Linked DNA regions of Cricetulus griseus. The protein of the gene in region 2 purifies or fractionates together with the protein of the main gene of each other region. This does not show direct contact. Links are inferred from orthologs where the notes say so. Each region holds a gene or a part of one and is shown on either strand. Other genes may lie near its edges.

Region 1 (3,691 bases), on a different chromosome or scaffold from region 2:
AGCCTGCAGCTCCCCACCCTCCATCCCCCATAGGGTTTGTGCCAACCTCTACTCATTACCTGGAGAGAGAAAGCTATATAGATGGCGACAGAGCCAGTGACCGTGCCTAAGCCTAGGAAGGTACCGGATTCACTGTAACAAATAAGAGTATTCGTTGTTCTGGAAGCTTATGCAGAAACCTTCTCACCCAACAGTGGTCCTCAAGAGACTGAGTCAGGACTCACTCCTGAGCTCCCTCAAGCACCCTCCTTTCCAGTTAAGCAACAATATCTCACACCTGACACTGAGGCAGGAGATGACTTCATGGCCACAGGGCCTGGTCCGAAGAGGCAAGAATGTGGAACTGTCCCAGGCTGTGAGGTAGCAGGGTGGGGGCTGACGCAGGCGCTTGTGGGGGATCTGCACTGTGAAGAGTCGCAGCCCCCCAGGTTGATCTGGAACCTTCCCAAACCTGGAAGCCGGGCAAAAGGTTTGTGCCTTCCTATATCCTGGTCACACTTGAAACCACCTCCAACATGGCTACAGCCACCCCCAGTTCCCCTCAGTCTCTTCCCACTTCCCCACTACAGCTGGGGTGTGTCTCTTCCAGCCATGCTCTGTGACCTTCATACCTGCAGGCCTGGTAGCGGTATGGTGTGTCAGAAGAGGCGGGTCCATTCTCTTGCCACTGTAGCTGTGTCACTAGTTGCTCCTTCTGCCACACAGAGGCCTTTAAGTCCCAGCCTACAGTCACCAACTGGGCAGGGGTAAAGATTCCAAATATGGACAGTTAGGACATCTACTTATGAGGCAAGCAGCACAAGAGCCCCCCTTTTCTGTACCAGTACCCCATACCCCCACCTCCTTACCTTGCCATCAGGACCCAAAGCCAAATCTCCAATCTCTCCTTCATGTGCTTTGAAATCCAGAACTTTCTCCAGGCTAGGTACCTACAGCCAAGCCAGCATCACAGTTTAGACCAGACGTAGCAAGAAAACTGCAATCTCCATCTCTCTTACCCCAATGGCCACTCATAAGTTTCCCAGAGTGCATATTCAGTCTCTCACAGTTTTGGAGTTATTGCAACTGACTTCCCTCTCCCTTAGGCCCCTAAAACCATACCTTCCAGACACGAACATGGCCATCAGTCCCTCCAGTAGCAAGCAGGGTATTATCGTGGTTGAAGCACACAACTTTCTGCAGTGGTTCAGTGCTAAAGTCTGTCTGTACTGCCTCCAAATTTTTTACTTTGAGTTCTACCCCTTCAGGGTGTACTTCTGCTCCAGATTTCTTCTCTGCTGGAGCTGCCCCCTTCCTTTGTCGAGGTCCCTGCTCCTTGGAACCTACAACACAATTTTCCAGGGTCCAGACTTCATTTGTTTTGTTTTTCAAGACAGGGTCTCTCTTTGTAACAGTCCTGGCTGTCCTGGAACTCGCTTTGTAGACCAGGCTGGCCTCAAATTCACAGAGATCTGCCTGCCTCTGCCTCCCAAGTGCTGATTTCTTTGGGGTTTCTTGTTATTGTGGTTGTTGCTTTTTAAAGACAGTGACAGAACTTACTATGTTCCCCAAGCTAGCTCTAAATATCCTCTTGCCTCCACTCCTAAGAAAGGAGATTGCACCACCACAACCTAGCAGAATCCAGGCTTCTGTATTAACTAGTATTAGTCCTTCTGTACTGACAGTACGGAGAGTGTTTTGGCGCTACTGAGACCCTACACCTAATCTCTCCTCTTTAGAGACCACGATTAGAGTGATTTTTCCAACGCTCCTCACCTGACTTCTCTGTTTTATTGCGCTTCTGTTGATGGACATGAAAACGTAGAAGCTGACATCGGGCATCCTGTCCGGCAGCAAGGATGTCACCAGCCAGTGCCAAGTTCATAGTGGCCCGTGTCTCTGTGTCATGAGAGTGTAGCAAGGAGGCGCTCAGGCAGCCATTGATTTGCTCTAGCTGCAGAAAGTGCTGGGAGGGAACCAACGTGGGCAAAGTTCAGGCGAGCCCGGAAGTCACATCAAGTCCTAGACTTAGTCGTTTAAGTCCTGTCTTAGTTGTATCCCTTGGCTTCCCGCGCCTCCATCTCATGGGGTTTGTTGTTGTTGCTGTTGTTAGAGCTTTATTTTCTTATTGGAGCTCTCCAATTAGTACAGCAAGTAGGGCTTAGATTACTAAATCCAGTTTACAGAAAGCAAGGAATCCAGGCTCGAGCTGCTTGAAGGCACATAAGACAGTGTGCCTTCCTGGAAAAGGCCAGAAAAGCAGCCCTGGACCAGCTCCCGCGGTCCTGCCTTCGCAGACCCGCACAGTTTCCAGGCTGTTATTTGGACGCCTTAACCACTCTTCTAAGGTGAAACCAGCACCCAGGCGTCTACGCCGGGTTTTCCCACTAGAAACAGGCAGGGCTTAAAGTAGGGGTACGACTCAGCCCTGCATCCCCTCCGCCCCGCCCCCGTCACCCCAGAATCGCCCTCGGGCACGGCACGCCACGGCACGGCACAGCACGACCCGTTCCCAGTTGCCCAGAGTTCTCACCACACCATTCTTGATGCCGGTCTTGGCGGCTCCTCCTCCGCCCGCAGCAATGAGCAGCCCGTTCTTGGGGTCCACCTGGAGCGCGTACAACGGGAACGGGGCCCGGTACAGCTCCACACCCCGGCGCCTGCCCATCCCGCACGCGCGTTCACTGCCAGCCCCGCGGAACCCACGACATGCCGCGCCCTGCCTTCGACCGCTGCCGAACTTGGTACCGCCGTCGCCGGGAAGCCTGAGGACCCCGCTCAGCCCCGCGGGCTCGCCACCCCTCAAACCACCGCAGGTATCCGATCTGCGCTCGCGCGGCTGGAGCTCACTGACGCGCAGTGCGCACGCGCAGCGCTCCTCGGCTCTCTCCGCGCAAGCGCAGGACGCCAATCCGCGTCAGCACTAGCGGGACGCGCTGCCACGGAACCCTGGCAGCGGATCCGGTTCCTCGACCCGAATGACGGCCGATCTGCCATCTTTGTGTGGGGCGTGGGACGTGGGGCTGTAAGAGATTACTGAAGAACAGTAAACTTTGAATTAATAAGTTCTCCAATTGGGGCGGTCCCCACCTCCGGAGATGCTGCACGGACTCGTAGAAGAGAGGACCTTTACGTGTTACTCCGGAGAGGAAGTGTTTTCTCCCTGGGCACAGCGAGGCTTCAAATCATATTCACCGCGTTCTAATAATCCTAATATAAAGAAATCGCTCCCTCCGCCGCGGATTGACACCCAGCTCTGCAACAGAGAAGTTACGGGTGACAGTGGCTCCCCGACAGGTGTATTCTGTGTTGATCTGTGCCTGGTATCTCACCCCCGCCCTTTTAAAGATTGTTCCCTCCTTTCTCCCCGCCTCTCCCGCGTGCGTGCTTCTTGCAGGTGCCCACTGGAACTCGGGTTACAGTCGTGAGTTGCCATGTGGGTGCTGAGAATTGAACCCGAATCCTTTGGAAGAGCAGCCAGGGCTCTTAACCCCTCAGCCATCTCTCCAGTCCCCCTCCCCCCCGCCAATCCCCGCTACCATGGTGGAGGTTCCACCCAAGCCCCCTTCCCTATCTCCCTCCAAACCCCGCCGCAACTCAGAAAGCCCGCCAAATGACGGCCCCTCCCCCAGAGAGGTTCAAGACTCCTCCCACGGGGTATTTAAACTGCCCTCCAGAAAAAAGACTCGAGGTTTTCCGGGTCTCTCTTTCC
Region 2 (3,748 bases):
GCTCTGTTGCAAGCCAACTGACCCTCAAGTGAATGTTTGATTGGCTTTTTTTTTGGAAATGTACAAACCTTATCTCGGAGAGAGCAGATTTCCAAGGGTAAACAAACCAGCAAGCAATCGTATTTCTGTTCTAGGACTTTGGAAGCAAAGGTACTTTAGCTTGTTGGGGGTGGTGGGGGGATGGATATGTGTCGATTCTGTCCGGCACCAGAGTGCAGTGTGCTTTGGGGACCCGGGGACCTTCAGATCTAGTCCCTTACGCAAAATTTCCCAATATAGGACTTTGATCTTTTAAAGCAACAACAACATTCAAATAACTCGATGTTCATAACTTACTTTTAAATGACTTATGCTCACTATGAAGGAGAATACATTCTGAAATCACATTTCTACCTACAGGGAGCCTCCTTCCACTTTCAGAAATACACGTGTAATCTTTGACTTTGTTTGTTTGTTTGTTTTTCAAGCCAGGGTTTCTCTGTGGCTTTGGAGGCTGTTCTGGAACTAGCTCTTGTAGACCAGGCTGGTCTCGAACTCACAGAGATCCGCCTGCCTCTGCCTCCCGAGTGCTGGGATTTTAAAATTACATTTCTTATTTACACACACTCCTCTCTGCCAGTCTCTCTCTCTCTCTCTCTCTCTCTCTCTCTCTCTCTCTCTCTCTCTCTCTCTCCCTCCCTCCCTCCCTCCCTCCCTCTCTTTCTCTCATGTGTGTATGAATCCGTTCTGCCCTTCTATCCAGGCAATAGTAAACTCAGGTCATCAGCCTTCACGGTGAATGCTTTTATTCACTGCCTTATTCACTCATTTTCTGGCTCTATACCTTCTCTTTTGAAGTTAGAATGTGCATGCAGTAAATATTTGGTTTTGTACATGCTGACTGACCTGCCTGAAGACAATGGTAGAGATTAACTACCTTTCTGTGGCAGCTTTAAAAGCTGTGGTGCCGAGCAAAGGTGCCTTCAAGTGAGTCAGTTTCACATGGGGCTACTTTATAAAACATTAGTCCAACTAAAAATCCCTGTTAATTATTAAGCCCTTCTGTATTATCTGGCTAACTGACACTGCAGGTTGAGACCAGAGAGTGTTAATTCCTGAAGCTACCAGTACACCGACAAGAAAATGTAACTACGGAGGAACTGAAAATTACTCAATCTCTTCCTCTTGTACAAACGAAGAGAGTATCTGCTGTTTTGCTGGCATGTCTGTGACCTAACAAGCATTTTAATGCTTGTTTAGGATTCCTGGTGTCTTGTTTAACCATGGTGGAAATTAGTGTTCGAAGAATCCTTCTTTTGGTTGTTTCTCTGGCCAAGTGTCTGGAAGGTACAAAGCTGCTGGCTCACCTCAAAAAGTGTGGTGACTTGGAATGTGAAAGTAAGTTTTCTTCTTCGTTTTCACACTGAGTTCTGAAATTACATTAAATGTTACTGTGAGCCTGTATGATGAAATCAACAATAATAATATTGAGAAATAGTTGAATTATAAACTATAGTTTGATATGAAAAAGGAATTCTAGAAGCAAAATATTTTGTGATAGCATTATTATAAATTTAACATAGAAGACAAAAATAAGACTCGTATAGAAATATGTCAGAAATGGTATTAATCCATGTATCAAAAACTAAATAAAAACTTTTTTTTTTAAAAGATAATTGAGTTGTTTAAGAAGATATCAGGCAGTTTGGTAATTCACTATTTATAAAATTTCTACATTTTAGTTCCTATTTCACAATCAGGACTTTCTGATTCTCATGAGTTTCCCTGAAAATGTTTTTATTTCAAACATCATGATCTAGTTGTCTAAATTTTATCAAATGCTAATCATTTGTGTTAATTTATTATATAAAAATGTTAAAATAAGTGTTCTAATATAGATATATATGATTTATAACATTCAATATTAAATGCTCTTGCATTTCTATGATGAGAAATTAATTTCTACTTTGTTGTTTAAGAACTTACATTTAAAATTTTTGCCGGGCGTTGGTGGCCTTTAATCCCAGCACTCTGGAGGCAGAGGCAGGCAGATCTCTGTGAGTTCGAGGCCAGCCTGGTCTCCAGAGTGAGTGCCAGGATAGTCTCCAAAGCTACACAGAGAAACCCTGTCTTGAAAAACCAATAAATAATAAATAAATAAATAAATAAATAAATTTTTATTTTGTATATGGGTATTTTGCCTACAGGTATGTATGTATGTATGTATGCATGTATGTATGTATGTATGCAGGTATTATACAATATATGTGCCTAGTGCTCACGGAATTCAAAAGAGGGTATTGGATTCCCGGGCACTTGAATTACAGACAGTTATGAATTACATGGCAGTTATGACCTGCCATGTGGCTGCAAGAGCAGTATGTACTCTTAACCACTCATCATCTCTCCAGCTCCAAGAACTTAATTTTTTCTTATCCACACGATGATGCAGAATAACGTTATCCTGCTGAGTACAGTGGCACACATCTTTAGCCCCAGCAATCAGGAGGCAGAATCCGGCAGATCTCTAGTCCCAGGCCAGCTTGATCTACATAGAGAGTTCTTCATTTCAAAATAAAAGAATAACAAAAAACAGAGAAGGAAAATATTGTATCTTTATCTTAGATGTTGAAAATAACTTTTGTCTTTCCCACATGAAAGCTATTTCTAATTTTGCAAAAAATGTAAATTAAAATACAAAGTATAATCATATAAAACAAAAAATTGCCAACAGATATACAGGAAAGATCTACTTACCTTTATTCTATGTGTATCAGTGTTTTGCCTGCATGCATGTAAAGGCACTGGGTGTGTGCTTGGTTCCCTCAGAGGCCAGAGAAAGTACTGAATCCACTGGCTGGAGTCACAGATGGACAGCCACAATTTGGGTGCTGGGAACTGAACCCAGGTGCTCTAGGAGAGCAGCCAGTGCTCCCATTTTCTCAGCCATGTCTCCAGCCCCAGTCATTTTTTTTTCCCCCAAGACAGGGTTTCTTTGTGTAGCCTTGGCTGTCCTGAAACTCACACTGTAGATCAGGCTGACGTCTAACTCAGAGACCCACCTGCTTCTGCCTCCCAAGTACTGGGGTTAAAGGCCTGAGCCACCACTGCCTGGCCCGTTAGTAATATTTTTATGAATAAAAAATTTTGTAGCCTTTCTCAGAAGTCATTTGAAACATGCTCACAACATCTTTCTTTTCTTTTCCTTCCCTCCTTCCTTCCTTCCCTTTTTCCTTGTTTTGTTTTTTGGAGACAGTTTCTATACATAGTCATGGGTGTCCTGGAACTCTCTGTGTACACCAGGTTGGCCTTAAACTCACAGAGATCTGCCTGTATCTGCCTCCCAAGTTGCCGGGATTAAAGGGTTGCATCTCCAGTCCCTACCAACTACATGGCATTTCATAATAAAGGCCCTTTAATTTTTCTCTAATAACTGCGTGCTACATTTAATAATGTTTTTATTTATCCTTTGGCAAATTTCATCCATTTATACAATGTGCTTTTGATCAAGTCTACCCCATATCTCATTTCCAACTCCTCCTGCAGCCTCTGCAACATCCTCTCTCCAAATTCTCTTTTTTGATTTTAAAAAGAAAGTTCTTAAAAATTTATCCATTTTATTTTATGTGTGAGTGTTTTGTCTGCATGTATTTCTGCATACCACTTGCATGCCTGGTGCTGACAGAGGTCAGAGGAGGGCATGAAACCCCCTGGAACTGGCGTTACAGATCCTTGAGAACCACCACGTGTTCCATACCATCAGAGCATG

What was found. Proteins that work in one complex are often made in the same cells at the same time.
Region 1: the proteins of melanoma inhibitory activity protein 2 (region 2) and Preb purify together in Homo sapiens (affinity purification with western blotting; 3 studies listed by BioGRID and IntAct, with this or other methods). This does not show direct contact. The link is inferred for Cricetulus griseus from reciprocal best matches to the Homo sapiens genes MIA2 and PREB.

What each region holds. Positions count from the first base shown.
Region 1 is NC_048600.1:13,417,563-13,421,253, reverse strand, and holds the start of Preb (prolactin regulatory element-binding protein), read right to left. Parts: upstream 2,838-3,691; 5' UTR 2,648-2,837; coding exon 2,513-2,647; intron 1,946-2,512; coding exon 1,756-1,945; intron 1,323-1,755; coding exon 1,102-1,322; intron 930-1,101; coding exon 849-929; intron 737-848; coding exon 612-736; intron 452-611; coding exon 278-451; intron 133-277; coding exon 60-132; intron 1-59.
Region 2 is NC_048598.1:143,446,714-143,450,461, reverse strand, and holds the start of melanoma inhibitory activity protein 2, read left to right. Parts: upstream 1-1,247; 5' UTR 1,248-1,262; coding exon 1,263-1,377; intron 1,378-3,748. UniProt on the Homo sapiens protein: Plays a role in the transport of cargos that are too large to fit into COPII-coated vesicles and require specific mechanisms to be incorporated into membrane-bound carriers and exported from the endoplasmic reticulum.